Astyanax mexicanus: one gene and its partner. The protein of the gene in region 1 purifies or fractionates together with the protein of each later gene. This does not show direct contact. Links are inferred from orthologs where the notes say so. Each region holds a gene or a part of one and is shown on either strand. Other genes may lie near its edges.

What was found. The genes of interacting proteins can lie anywhere in the genome.
Region 2: the proteins of lrrc41 (region 1) and drg1 purify together in Homo sapiens (affinity purification with mass spectrometry; 3 studies listed by BioGRID and IntAct, counting the BioPlex papers as one, with this or other methods). This does not show direct contact. The link is inferred for Astyanax mexicanus from reciprocal best matches to the Homo sapiens genes LRRC41 and DRG1.

Annotation. Positions count from the first base shown.
Region 1 is NC_064412.1:53,953,956-53,961,079, reverse strand, and holds the start of lrrc41 (leucine-rich repeat-containing protein 41), read right to left. Parts: upstream 3,022-7,124; 5' UTR 2,846-3,021; coding exon 2,770-2,845; intron 1,797-2,769; coding exon 1,710-1,796; intron 1,608-1,709; coding exon 1,531-1,607; intron 505-1,530; coding exon 60-504; intron 1-59. Other genes in the region: cytochrome b-c1 complex subunit 6, mitochondrial, read right to left, coding at 3,911-3,943, 4,750-4,911, 5,139-5,171, 6,280-6,324. UniProt on the Homo sapiens protein: Probable substrate recognition component of an ECS (Elongin BC-CUL2/5-SOCS-box protein) E3 ubiquitin ligase complex which mediates the ubiquitination and subsequent proteasomal degradation of target proteins.
Region 2 is NC_064427.1:20,149,143-20,157,056, forward strand, and holds the start of drg1 (developmentally-regulated GTP-binding protein 1), read left to right. Parts: upstream 1-4,894; 5' UTR 4,895-5,088; coding exon 5,089-5,127; intron 5,128-6,325; coding exon 6,326-6,449; intron 6,450-7,148; coding exon 7,149-7,324; intron 7,325-7,914. UniProt on the Homo sapiens protein: Catalyzes the conversion of GTP to GDP through hydrolysis of the gamma-phosphate bond in GTP. Appears to have an intrinsic GTPase activity that is stimulated by ZC3H15/DFRP1 binding likely by increasing the affinity for the potassium ions.

The DNA.
Region 1 (7,124 bases):
TATTACTACTACTACTACAGTTAATATTATTTTAATATAGTTATTATTGCAGTGCCTACCCCTGGAGTCTGTAGTTGCTGAAGACTGAGAATTGGTCCTATAAGGTCCTCTACATCTGAAAGTAATCCAGCTAAACAGAGAGCAGTCAGGAGTTTTCTTCAGAACCACCTCAGTCACAGAGCCGTGGTCAATAAGACGATGGAGAACGAATAAAAGTTCTGCATTTCCATGTTGGAGAAGAGCCTCTGCATCAAACAGCCTGAGACACCTCACGCTCTTCTCCAGAAGGGACAGAATGGGTCGGTGGTCCGGTGAAGCCAGCCGGCAGCCTCCTCGCACGGCGAGCGTGAGCGTCAGCACCTGCACGTGTTTGGCTGACATGGACAGAACTGCATGTTCACTCAGATTTGAAAGGAGGTTCTGCACTTCCGCCTTTCTCAACAGAACCATGTGGAACAAACTCTCCAGACACTTCTGCTTCCAGTTCTCTTCAGGCTGCATGAACTGAAACAATAAAACACCACAGTGAATTAGTAAACACACACTGGAATCAACTGACAATGTAGTTTTATGTACAGTGATGATGCTAAATTCAGCACTGCATCAAGAACTATCATTCAGTAAAAGCTGATAGACCCACATGAGCAACAGATTCCTTTGGTAAACCTTTGTCTACATAAGGCAACATAAAACTTTACTGTATAAAACAGAGGCCTTATGATAACCATATCCAGAAGTGAGTGTCAGCTTTTCTGGGCTTGGAGGCATCTGGACCCTTACAAACCATATGTTTTTATATGTGTGTATTTTTTATGTACACAGTTCCTAATGCCATTTAATCTGTGTTTTTATAACACACAAAAAAAAACATGGAAAAATATTAAGGTACTAATTTTCTGCACAGGCTACACTGATGAAAGACTGAAGTACTTGTGCTTTAGAATTTACTGAAATTATATTTGATTTACTACAGATGATATTTCTACTACTTTTTTATAATAATAAAATAATGGCACTGATTATAAGGTCTTCAGCATCACCATTTATATAAGAATTTAAAGGGTAACTAAACCCCCTGATTTTAGCTGACTCCACCCTCAGCTCCAATTTGAAAAATGATAAAAAAAAATAAGTGGTAGTTTAGGAGGGGCACTGAGTGATGTATAGGTTTAGGGGCGGGGCAAAAGGGAGAGCTGATTGGGCTGAGCAGCGAGATGCAAATGGTTGGACGTAACATGCGGGGTGGTAGTAACATCCCCCTCAACTAAAGCAAGACCACTTTTGTAAAAAAAATTAAGGAGAATTGGTATGTTTCATTACTTTAAAGGAAAACATTTCAGCTATTAATGAAAGAAATATATGGTTTAGTGGTTCCTTAAAAAGCGTAGTTGCATAGAGCATAGAGCTGGCCAGAGACTACAGCCTTTACAGCTTATTTACAGTTGTTTTTTTGTTGATTAATGAGCATTGTCCCTGTCAACTAAATAAAATAAAAAAGTCAAAGCAAAAAGGAAAGAAAAAACACACAACCTTTAACTTGCAACGCCATGTATGATTCAAATCCCTCCATTTATCTGCCCACACAATCTGGAGAGAGGTAGAAATTCCTACAATCACAACAGATCATTTGTCAGTTACCATTTTTACACAGACACTGATGGATAATAGAAAGAGTGAGACAGACAGAAGTTACTATTATAGTAACTTACGTTTAAGTTGTGCAGTTTTTTCAATTCTGTCCAGGTAGAACATGTTCAGGTGAGGCAACAAATCTTTGAGAAGTGAAGCTGGCAAATCTAGAAAAAAATGTACATTATATTATCATTGTCATGCCAATAGTATTACACAGGTCTAAAAAAAAAATGAAAAAAACATATAAAGAGAAAGTATATCAAAATAAGAAAGCTTTTAAATTTATTTCATATATATATATATATACATATATATATATATGTATATATATACATAAAAAAATATAAAAAGAATGAAAAAGTCTTTCATTATAATGACTTAAGAAAATAAAATAAATAACTAGTACTGAGGATGTTGAGTAGGACATAAGATAATTATGATATTAATTTATAATTAATAAATGAATAAGTGTAACCTACACGACCTCAATAATTTTTGCTGACCTCAATATTATAAATGATATAATATAAATGAACTAGCATTAAAAACAGCATATTTATTTGTTACATTTGTTTTATTTATTTATGATGATTTAAAATATTCAATAGCCAGTAATTAATCTTAATAATTATAAAAGATTAAAATAGTTTTTTTATTTATTTACAATAATGTTGTTTATCTTAATTTATTTTTTTGGGTGGGGGGTGGGGGGGGGACAGTATATGGTCAAAACAAACACAGTTATTGTGACAGACCTAAAGTTAAGTCATTATGTTGAGGCACCAAGTAATTACTTTAGATTTGTATCTTAAATAAATGGCAAAATTTAAAAAATATTGAGAAGGCAAAATTACAATCTGGATGCAATATCTTAAAAAAAAATAATAATTTATCTCTAAATAATGACACAGTAACTTATTTCACAAGAATGACTTAGTAACTGAGTTTAAAACCAAGTTATTTTAAGATGTTAGGTTAACTAGGTTAATTATTTTAGGATACATATATTTTTAAAAATGCTTCTACATTAATGTTGCCGTTTTAAGACACCACAATATTTATCACATATTTTTAAAACAGATTTTGTGTAGCACTCCTGTATCAGTGAATTATTAATGTGTAATTTGATAATTTTACCAGGGATTTTCTGCTCCAGCAGGTCCATATTCTGAGCTACTGCTCTGATACTCAGGGACACCAGGGTAGATAACATACTGCTGCTGCTGCCCGGGTCTCACAGTTACTACAGAAATTCCACAATTTCACTAATTTCACCCTCAGAAAAATCTGTTCATCAGAGACAAACAGGAGAAATATATCCACACATTTCCCTCCCAATATCTCTATAGTTAGCTTAGCTAAACTAGCTGAGCCTGTGAATATTCCACAACCAAGCAAACGAACACTTCAAAATAAAAGTCACGACTTTAAACTGCAATTAAAAAGTCCTTATTTTCACACTGGAAAACTGAATTCTAATTTTAAAATTATATATTTATAAAATGTTATTGAAAACGTAAAAAAATAGAATTAACATTTTTTATTGTTACTATTAACTATGTATTTATTTATTTAGACCAAATAATAAAAAAACTTAATTGATAAATTAGTAAAAATATTTTAATGACAGACTTTTAAATAGTAACAATAGTTTAATTATTTTAAAATATTTTCATGCTTCAAAACCTCAATTGATAGATTTTTAAATGTAACTAAAGTACAAATAAAAAAATATATAATTATCATTTTAAAAAAATAGCTCACTTACTATTGAAAATGACTATTAATAAACAGAATTACAAAAACACATTTTTTTCCGAACCTTTAATCTATTTGTGGATGCAAGCAGACATGTAGTCCTGCTTTTGCCATTACAAAGACAATCACATTAAATTGATGCCTTACAGTATAATAAATATGATTTTATCACATCAATTATCTTTTAACATATCCATTTATGTCAGCCTCAATTAAGGCTAAAAATTTAAATATTAAAACTATGCTTTTCATGGAGAAATCAGTTTATGGGCTTGGAAAGGTTATAGCCTTTATAACTTTAACCAGGAATTTGACAACAAGAAGTTGATATACTTAAATGTTTATTGCAAAGATGTACACATTACAATATTGTATTCACAATTCATCAACATAAACACACTGGACAAGCTGTTAGGTACAGTAGGCTGATCTGAAGAAACTCAGCAATCACATCACTGGAAATAACAGTGGAACTCAATATTGATACGGGCAGAAGTTCATCTAGAGGGTCTGAGGGTCTTCATTTGACTGAATGAAAGACCTTGTGGGCCACCTGGAAGACAGAAAACATATATTAGCACGTGTTAAAAGTGCTGGATGAACTGGTCCTTACAAATTACTCAAAACAGTCAGTCATTATTCAGTCATTTTTATTTGTTTAATGCACCATAAAATCAAGATCATTTGATCCAAAGCACCGGGCATGGTAGTAGGTTTTCATTCAACTCAAGATGGAGCATATCTTTAATTTGCTAGTCTAAAAACAGGGACTTTGTTACATTAAGTCTACCTAGAGTTGCAGCGTGCTCCTGTCATCTAAACTGTTTGGTTTAAGAAGTTTTACCAGTTCCACTTTTTTGTAACTGCATGTAGATACTTCACGTTTGATGAAGGTCATGATGGATTAACGGTGGCTGGATGGAGTGCCTTATGTATTTCATCACTCTAAAGGCGATTTACTGTGGATCTCAGACTGAATATGCATAATTTGACTTATCATTCTAAATATGTATAATTAACCAATAATACACGAAAGGAAATGCTGTAACTTGTAATATTGGCACTGTCCCAATATTACATGTTATAGCATGAACCTTGAGTGTATTATGGTGATCATACCACAGCTCCATTATCACTGTTTATTATTATTTTTTTAATTAAAGAGGATGAGAAACTATGATCTGTTTTCTTATAAACACTGCGCCAGTTAAAATAGTTCCATTGCTGCTCTGTTTGTAGCAGTGCTCTTTGGTTTGTAAGCGCTGCATCGTTACTATGTTACCTGTATGTGGTGGAGTGATACATGGAGAACTTTGTTTTTGAGTTTTTAAACGGGGATGGGGAAGACGGCCTACTCACACAGTGGTCACGCGCGTGCAGGAAGTCGAAAAGCTCCTCTGTGCAGTCCTCTGTAGTTTCAGACCGAGAGCCCACTCTGGTTTCACAAGCCTCTAGCTTCTCCCGTGCGTGAACACAGTGCTCCGTCTCCTCACATTTCTGCCTGATTGTTTCTAAGGGATCCTACACACACACACACACACACACACACACACACACACACACACACATACACACACACACACACACACAATAAATTACATACTACAGTGCTTGATTGTTTACCAACAACTGCCAAAATACTATGTATGGTTAAAAAAATCATTTAGTACACCGAATTCTGGCCCCTCCAGACCAGAACTCGACAAGCTTTTTTTTAACAATTGTAAAATTGTGTTTATTTATCATACCACCATTTCTTCCTCATCCTCTTCTTCTTCTTCCTAAATGGAATAATTTGGAGAAAAAAAAACAGAAACACAGTTATTTGAGAAGACAGTAATGCATTTAATATTCAGATTTAAATTTTAAAACGACCTTTCAGTTGCTATCAATAGAAATATCACTTAAGTGAAACCATCTATTCTTTTTTCCCCCCAAAAAACTTTTTTTTTTCCTCCAATTAAACCACCCCTCCCCCCTCAACTCAAGTCTCCTGCAATCAGGGTCAGGACTTAACGTCCTCCGACACGTGTGTTTTCTTTTAAAACAATATTACCCAGCCAGGTCTTGTGTGAAGTTTCCACCAATCAGTGATGGTTTGGAGAGGCATGTCATCTGCTGGTGTTGATCCACTGTGTCAAAAGTCTGTACAGAGTATTCGCACAAAATCTTGCAGCACTTCATGCTTCTCTCTGCTGACTCTTGGTCTTATATTATATTCTAATTTTTTGAGACACAGATTTTTGGGTTTTCATTGGCTGTAAGCCATAATCATCAACAATAAAATAAATACATGCTTAAAATAGATCACTCTGTGTGTTTAATACATCTATATAATATATGAGTTTCACATTTTAAACTCAATTACTGAAATAAAGTATTTTTTTTTTAAGATATTCATTTTTTTGGAAATGCACCTGTATTATACATGCTATAGTGGGTTAATTTGACCTGTATTTGGATAAAGATAATTAGAAGTAAAGTAAATTCAGTCGAAATTTTAATTTTTAAAAGGGTGTTAAAAGGGTATTTTTATTATATTAAGAGTTGTCAGTGTCAGTGATTATAAAATGGGCTTAAAAGTGACAATAATATAGTTTACAGCTAATTATTTCTGAAATAAGATATCTGTGAGCTGCATTATAGAATAATATTATTAATATTAGACTGTGTAGAGCTGTATTTAGTAATTATTCAGATCAGTGTAACAACAGAGAACAGTTTAATCAGTTTTAATCAGCTGAATGAACTGACTGTAAACCTCAGCAGCTTCAGAAAGGCGTCAGATGAGCTCCAGGCCCCTAACCAACCTCAGTTACAGTAAATAACCCCCCTATAACCAAACTAAAACCCAGTCTTTAATAAACTGCGGATCTTATAATCCCTCACCTCATCAGGCTCTCCGTTCTGGATCATTTTCTCCTCGAACACCATGATTTCAGCCGGTTTGTCCTACAGCTCGCCGACAGCAGTAGAGGACAGTGTGACACTGAGCGGAAACGTGAAGCACGAAACTAAGGCATTTATGATTTTATTAGCGAGACTGCCCACTTATAATCCCCCATTTATATCAGAAAACGACTCTTAACCGATAGAGGGAGCCCGCGAGTGAGCCCTTAATGAATGGGAGTCAATGGAGCTAAACGGCTAAAAACTCAAGTTAAAAATACTAATTAACTACTTTTCCAATATATTCCTTTAAATTAAAAAAATATAACAAACTGTTCTCCAAAAACAGCAAAGACACCTTACCTGTACGTTTATATTTTTCTACAATAAACAGTTTTCTATCAACAGTTTCGCTAGCATTACTGCTACTTTAGTTGCTGGCAGGTTGGTGAGCTAAAAGCTAACTGGAGTTTTTAACCCTAGCACGTCAAAAAGTCTTCTAAAAGTCTATACTTCTATGCAATAAGGAAAATGCGTACTTTGTTAGCATAAAAATAATGAAACATTTATAAACTACGATTTTACTTAATTGGTCCATTATAAAACACAATTTTATACTTCCTATTTTATTGTATTTTTACGTATAATTATATCTTATTCTTTTTTTAAACTTCTGTGCACTATGTACACCTGCTACTGAATGTCCAGAATTTCCCTCTGGGATCAATAAAGTGTCTCTCTGTCTGTCTGTCTGTCAGCCCCCATTCATTTTAGACTCGCTCGGGAGCGCCCTCTGGTGGCCTGACAAAAACGGTACCTCAAGTGAGTAATCTTTGCTAGTGCAG
Region 2 (7,914 bases), on another chromosome or scaffold:
TAAGAATTTAAGAGTAGGAATCATAAAATCATAGGTAAAAAAATAAGCTAATAGAACTAATAAAAATTCAACTACTGATGAATAAATAAAACTTAACACATAAAAGAGTAAAATATAAATAAGCAATAACTAAAAACAATAAAAGAAAAGAAACAAAACAAGCTAGGAAAAAAACAACTAAAACTTACCAAAGATCATAAAAAACTAATTTCCACGGCTATTCTATGCTCCTATCGTTTGCACTGTAAGCCCATTGGAAGCATCAGCCAAAAGTGCTGTATTTCAGAGTGCTGGGGGTGAATGGAGGTGGGTTACTTCAAAAAATGTCATATTTGTTTTTATGTTTTGCTACAACCCAATTCTATTTTACACCAGGGTTCCCCTTTAAAGCTGAATTAGGGTCACTTTGAACAGAGAAACAGTAAAAGTAGTTTTCCACACAGATTCGGTTTAGTCCCAAACTATTACCCTCAGTCCGCAGGGTAAACTCAGCCTGAGACTATGCCTAATCTGCACTATCCTGCAGGACCTGCAGCGTCCTGGTCTCCTGCATGGGTCGGGTCAGAACAGTACAGCAGTTTAAAGGGATATTTCTTCCGATTCTTTTATTAGAGACTCCTGTGACGTGTATCTGATGCCTGGTGAATCGTTGCCAGTTGCTCGCATGTTCTGGACTGATCTATGATTTCTTTTGGATGCCCGACTCATCTGATGGCCTGATGCTGGAGAGACCAGTGCATTATGTAGCCTGACGAAGCAAAAACACCCCCCGGCCTGTTCCGGCAGGCCTACGAGGTTACACAATGTTCCAGATCGATGGTGGATCCAGCAATTTCACCAACATTTGAGTGATTATACTGTATGCAAAGTAAATATGAACAATAAAAAGAAACTATTTACCAAAAACAATTTGTGCTGCTGGTGTCTGAGTGCTGAGTTTGTATTGTTGTTTTTTTGTAATTTGTTTATTCGGTTTTTTAAATGATTGGTTAAACAGCTATGGAGGAACCAAAACTGCCAAAATTAAAGTAAGTAAATCACTCAATAAAAGTAATATGGTGATGTAAAACAGTAAGGAATAATTATGATTAATATAAAAATATATACATATACATACAAATAAAATCTTAATAATTTAAAATATGTTAATAATTTGTTTCTTTATTTTTTTTATTAATTTATTTATTTGCATATTTATTTCTGCATTATTTACAGATTTATTTATTTCTGTTTTTCCTTGTCCTTATATGATAATGAAGGGGGCGTGTTTTTCACGTACAGGTTTAGCAATCAAGAAAGAAAGGAGCTGATATGAGTAGAAGAGTCCAGGAGCTGAAACGTCGGGGAGAAGTTTGTTATCGGATCTGCTCAGAGAGGCAGTAGCTTATGTTGCTCACCTCAAAGAAATAGACCAGAGTCTGTATTACGATCTAAGTGATCTTCATTAAATAATTTTCCACGTTACCAAAGTTACTGCCAAAGGAGCAAAAAATGTACAATCCATCTAGGGTATCTGACATCGATTAACCAATAGGAATGCTAAGACACTGTGACATCATTACTGGACAGACCTCTCATTATCATATAAGGACAAGGAAAAACATAAATAAATAAACCGGGAAATAAATGAATGCAGAAATAAATAGTCATGTTAATAAATAAACAAATGAATCAAAATAAAAAAATATTTTAAATAATTTTAATAAAGACACCCCTAAATAACAATTTATACATAAATAAGATATTTATTTTTATATTATTTATAATTATTCTTTACTATTTTAATCACCGTATTACTTTTATTGAATGATTTACATACGTTTATATTTCTTTATTTATTTTTAATTTTGGCAGTTTTGGTCCTCCATAAACAGCATAGATCTCAGTTAACGCAGTGTTTTAAGTGAAATATATTATAAAAAAAAATAAAAAAAACTACAAGAGTAAAAGGGAAAAAATAAAGAAATAAAAGGCGGGAAATAAGAAAAAAGGTGGAAGAGGAAATAGAAAAACAAAACAAAAACCTTGACATATATATTTAGAGTACAACTTCTTAGCAGAGCCATTCATTGAGCACCTAATAGGAGAAGAGGATTTCTATCTATTTAGTATTAATCGTCTGGCCAGCAAAGTAAGTGCTGAGGTTTATGGGAGTATTAAGATTATTGCTGATTGTATTCTGTGAACATGTGACTGGTTGTTAAGCTGAATTGTATAAATATAAATATATTTTATGTAGTACGTACATGATTGGGGTACTTAAAAAAAGCTACTATTTTTCTACTATTAATATGTGTAATATCTGATACAAAATGTCTGTATATAATGTGTGATATATTGATTTCAAGTATGGACCCAGGCCCACATTTACTACAAAATGTAGTTCTACTTTTAAGGGGACCTATTATATACCATATTTTTACACAAGCTACAATATTGTAGATCTATGTGCTATACAAACATGTTCATTAAGTTTTTTTTAAGGAAAATCACACACACAGTCCCTTTCAGAATAAGCCATTAGGGCTCTGTCACTTTTATGCCAATAAGCTCTTGTTGGCAACACATGTTTACACTGAGCGTTTACCACACCTTAGTGTTAGCTTGTGCTAAATGGCATAACACTGTAATAGAAACAATTCTATAATTCATTATTTGAAAGTTCTTACATCTCCTGACTTGCAGCAGACAGTAGGTACAGATCCCTTCCTCAGACGAAGTCTGCAGGCTAATCCTGCTGTGTACCAGGGCTGGACTGGTAATCTGGTGTACCGGGCAAATGCCCGGTGGGCCGACAGTCCTTAGGGGCTGATGATTTTTTTCTTCGGCCCACAAATTAGAGGGGGTCTCTCTCTCGCTCCCTCGCTCGCCTAATCACGCGCTTTCTCTCTCTTTCTCTTACTGTCTCTCTCTCTCTTTTTCTCGCTCTTTCCCTTTTTTCTCTGTCTCTCGCTCGCTCTCTCTCTCTCTGTCTCTCTTTTTCTCCCTGGCTCTCTTTCTCTCTCGCTCTCTCTCTGATGTAAGTGATTGACACCACTTATATAATTTAATTGTATCAATTTAAAGCTGATATTTTTAAAAAAGAACACTAAAATGCATCCAGTAATAATGATAAAATATTAGTAGTTAAAGTAATGATGTTGTTTTTGTTTTTAATAAAGCGCCACAATCATGCCCATTGTTTGTTTGTTCTACCTAGATCAAAAGATCCTCTCATGATGAGAGTAGAAGTGAACCCTGGTTTCAAGCATTTAATAAAAGAGCTTGAGCCCTGTTACAACATTCCATCCCAAAAAAACAAAACATGACTAGAATAAAGTTAATTTTTATTATGAAGTTGATAATGGTGAGGCTATATAGAATGCCCTATTTGTAGCCTGATACAAGTACATGTTATAGCTGTTTAAAGGAGGAAGCACCTTTAACCTGAAAAAATAGAAATAAAACAAATACATATTAGAGATTATTTCAATAAAAAAGATAAAAAATCAATTGAACTACACAGAGCAGACACAAATGGCGGAGTTAAAATTAGACAATAAACGTGTTATATTTAATATGCTGATGATACATTATGCTTCTCTGTAACCCCACAAACATAAATTACATGTTGGTTGTGCTCCGCAAATTATGAGGGGCCGTTCTAAAGCAAAAATGCCAGGGCCGATTTTTTTGTCCCAGTCCAGCCCTGCTGTGTACTGTCTGAGGTTCTCAACCAGCAGACTGAAGTGGCGTTTCTTCAACTGATCTTGTGGGTGAGGCTCTGGTTAAGCATACATATATACAAAATACGTTTATGCATAACACTATTATATTATATGTGGGTTTTTATCCTTTAATAAATAAGCTGCAATTCTTTTTTTTTTTTTTCAAAAAACCCTTCAGCACAGCAGAGCATTTTAAAGATTTTAAATTCAGTGCTCTGGCTGTAGCATCAGCTCACCAACCAACCAATCAGCTCACAGTATCAGTGATGCAGCACCTTTACTGCCTAAAACCAGTTTACTGTAGAAAAACTGAATAATGTACAGGTAAGTTTTATACGCTTTTTTAGCAAAATCATTTTAATTTGAAAAATATATTTTTCGGAATATCCTGGCCAAATTATTAATTACTATTTTTAATTTGAGTTTTTAGCTGTTTAACTCCATTCACTCCCATTTATTGAGGACTCACTCGCTGGCTCCCTCTAGCGGTTCATAGTTATTTTCTGATATTAATATCAGAATATATGTATATATATATATAACTGATGCTCTCAAACACTTTATTAAGAGGCAAAAAATTCAACTAAGAGTAATTAGCTCTTTACAAGTTCAGCTGAACTGAAAGCCTGAATTTCAAGTGACAAGCTGACTGAAAAAATCCAGCAGAGATGTATAAATCTGACCATCTAAGCAAGAGGTGAAACTTTGAGGTATGTGAAATAAAAAAAACATATTCTGGTTTGTTTACAACAATTTTTCCATTATAATTTGTCTGAGTTTGGTATTAGTCTACAATGCAGAACATGTTGATACTGTATAGTAAACCCTGTTAAAACCAGGGATATTCCGCCAAATATTACTTACTAAACTCTTAAACTTTTTGAATATGAAGTTGTTTTCTTTGCATTATTTGAGGTCTGAAAGCTCTGCATCTTTTTTGTTATTTCAGCCATTTCTCATTTTCTGCAAATAAATGCTCTAAATGACAAAATTCTTATTTGGAATTTGGGAGAAATGTTGTCTGTAGTTTATAGAATAAAACAACAATGTTCATTTTATTCAAACATAAACCTATAAATAGCAAAATCAGAGAAACTGATTCAGAAACTGAAATGGTGGTCTCTTATGTTGCTGCACACAGCTGTATATGGTGACGGTGGCTGTGTGCAGCTGTTACTCCTGTCCAGCAGGTGGGGCTCTGTCTCCCTCCGCTCAGCGCCGGGAACCGCGAGGATCTACAGCACAGCATGTCAGAAGTCTGAGCGCGGCGGCTAAAACCCAGAAAATCCAACTTTACAGAGCCGAACAGAACCAGAACCGAGCCCGCTCCGCCTGATACAGCTCCCCCTGACCCGGTTCTGACCGACCCAGCGCCGCAAACATGAGTTTACTCGCTAAAATCGCAGAAATAGAGAACGAGGTTAGTGAGATTAGCCTGTTAGCATCGGGCCGCTACTCGCCTCCATTCATTTTTACAGCGCTTTATCTTCAATAAACTGATAAATACTCTTATTTTACTGCATTTATACTCACTGAGAAACTGTATTTAGCTGTTTATATTAATGTAGACCTTTTACAGTGCTCCTAATACTGCTAGGAAACACTGGGACCTGTTTAGAGTAAAAATATCTAAAATTAAATACTATAGAAACTATAAACATGAGCATATTACCACAAAATATACATCTAAAATTACGAATATTATGATGTTGTCTATTTAAGTTACTGTTCCAATATTTAAATAATGTTAAACATATGTATTGCAGGTTTAAGAAGCTGTAGTAGCATATATGACTGTAAATTATTGAGTACTGAAATTATTTTTGTAAAGAAAAAAAGTGTTTAACAAACCAGAATATATTTTTTAAAGTGGCACCTCTTGCATAACAGTTTTGCATATCTCAGCTGGATTGTCTCAGTCAGCTTTATGAGGTAGAGTCAACTGGAATTCAGGCTTTTAGTTAACAGCTGTGCTGAACTCATCAAGAGTTAATTACTTGAATTTCTTCTCCTCTTTATAAAGTGTTTGAGAGCATCAGTTGTAAAGTAGTGAAGAGGTATTGTTACAGGTATACAGTGAATAGTGAATATTTGAGTAATGTTCTAATCCAGATTATGAGAAGCAAGAACTACTCAACTAAATAATAAAAAACTCCTTTTAATAGAATAAAACAGTAAACTGTAGGAAAGAAAGTATCCTCAAGTGCAGTTTCTGCAAAGACCATAAAAAACGTTTTATAATGATGGAACTGGCTCTCATCAGGACCGCCCCAAGGAAAGGAAGAGCAATAGCAAGAGCAATCCTGTTGTACAGGATCAGTTCATCAAAATTACCAGCCTCAGAAACTGCAAGTTAGCAAACAGCTTCCAGAAAATAGCACCTAAACGTTTCACAGAGTATTTTGGTTTGTTTAACACTTTTAAGTTACCACATGCTTCCTTATGTGTTCCTTCATAGTCTGGATCACTTCATTATTCATTTACAATGTAGGAAAAACTAAAATAAATAAATAAATAAATTTGGGTGGGTTTCTGATGTTTACTGTTCAGAGTGCTGATATATGACTATTACATTTATAATATAAAGTGCTACAACTGTGTTTTATCTTGTACTACAGATGGCTCGTACTCAAAAAAACAAGGCCACAGCTCATCACCTGGGGCTGCTGAAAGCCCGACTGGCCAAACTCCGGAGAGAGCTCATCACTCCTAAAGGAGGCGGAGGAGGAGGACCTGGAGAAGGTACGAGCAGGGAGGCTTTTCTCTAAAACTGTGGAACTTCATATTATTAAGAAACTAAGATTAAGATTTATTCTAAAAACAGTGTAGAACTTCTAGGGTACACTTGTGATGATGATGATGATTATGTGTCTGTACACTTAGTTTACAGATTTGTATGAAGCAGCTATGAGAATTTTGGTTGTTTAATAATAAAGAATGTACTGAAATGAACATTTTGGATGTTTACATCAAGGTTCATATCAATTTAGTCCCTTTTTTTTACATTTTTATAAATTAAAAAGTTTATAAGTACTTTTGTCTTGCTTTTCAAAGCGAACATGAATACTCTGTAGAAATGACTTCGTCTTTTCTCTTATTGCCCAAAAATTAAAAATAAATCAAATCTAGTGTAGCTGCATATATTGCATATGTTTTTGTTTGCGTTGCATTTGCAAACATGCAAATCGGTAATCCGAATTGTTTAAAAATGATGTGATAGACCCCAATTTCCAATCACATGATCTTATTGGGAACATCCCTACTAGCAGTAATGTTTATATTGCAGTACCCAGACAGTCAGGGTCTCAAGCTCAAATTAATGAAGAAATACAGTTAAGACTAGTACAATAAATATAATATATAATATAATAAATTAAATAAGAAGAATAAGCTATGATAAGCTGAGTTCCTTATTAAAACACTAATTTTTATTTGTTTCAGGTTTTGATGTTGCGAAGACGGGTGATGCGCGTATCGGGTTCGTGGGCTTTCCCTCTGTGGGTAAATCCACGCTGCTGAGTAACCTGGCTGGAGTTTACTCCGAGGTCGCCGCCTACGAGTTCACCACGCTGACCACAGTGCCGGGAGTCATCCGCTACAAAGGAGCCAAAATCCAGGTTCTTACAACAGCTCTTACCTTTAAAACAGGCAAAACTACAGACAAAATCTGACTTCAACATCTGTCTTTATTAGAAGATATACTTTACACCATGTTTATACATAACAAAGTTTTAAACTGTCCGAAACTCCATAATCAAGTCTATTAGAGATCACTGAACACCTCCACACAACATAATGAGAGCCTGCGGTTATTACAGTGCTAACTAATGTGGTATAAAATTTCCATCAAGAGCTAAAATAGCCTTTTGTTTCAGCTGCAGGCACGAAATATGACTTTGCTGCTCAATTTTATTTTGGTTATTCATGATTTGAGAGAAATCATCTTAATTTTTTCAATTTACCTTTATTTTTACTCTGGGATATATTGAGGGTAATCTTAGCTGAGCCAAGTTTACAAACTAAAGGACTGAAAAAATAAGTAAATTAACATCAAAATCAACTTAAGCTAAAATAAGGAACTTAAAAAAAAAAAAACATTAAAAGGTAAAAACAATATAATCTTCAATTAATAAGAAATATAATAAAACAGAATACAAGGATAAGTGCACAGGCTAAAATGTAAAGCAGTAAAATAAAGAGATAAATA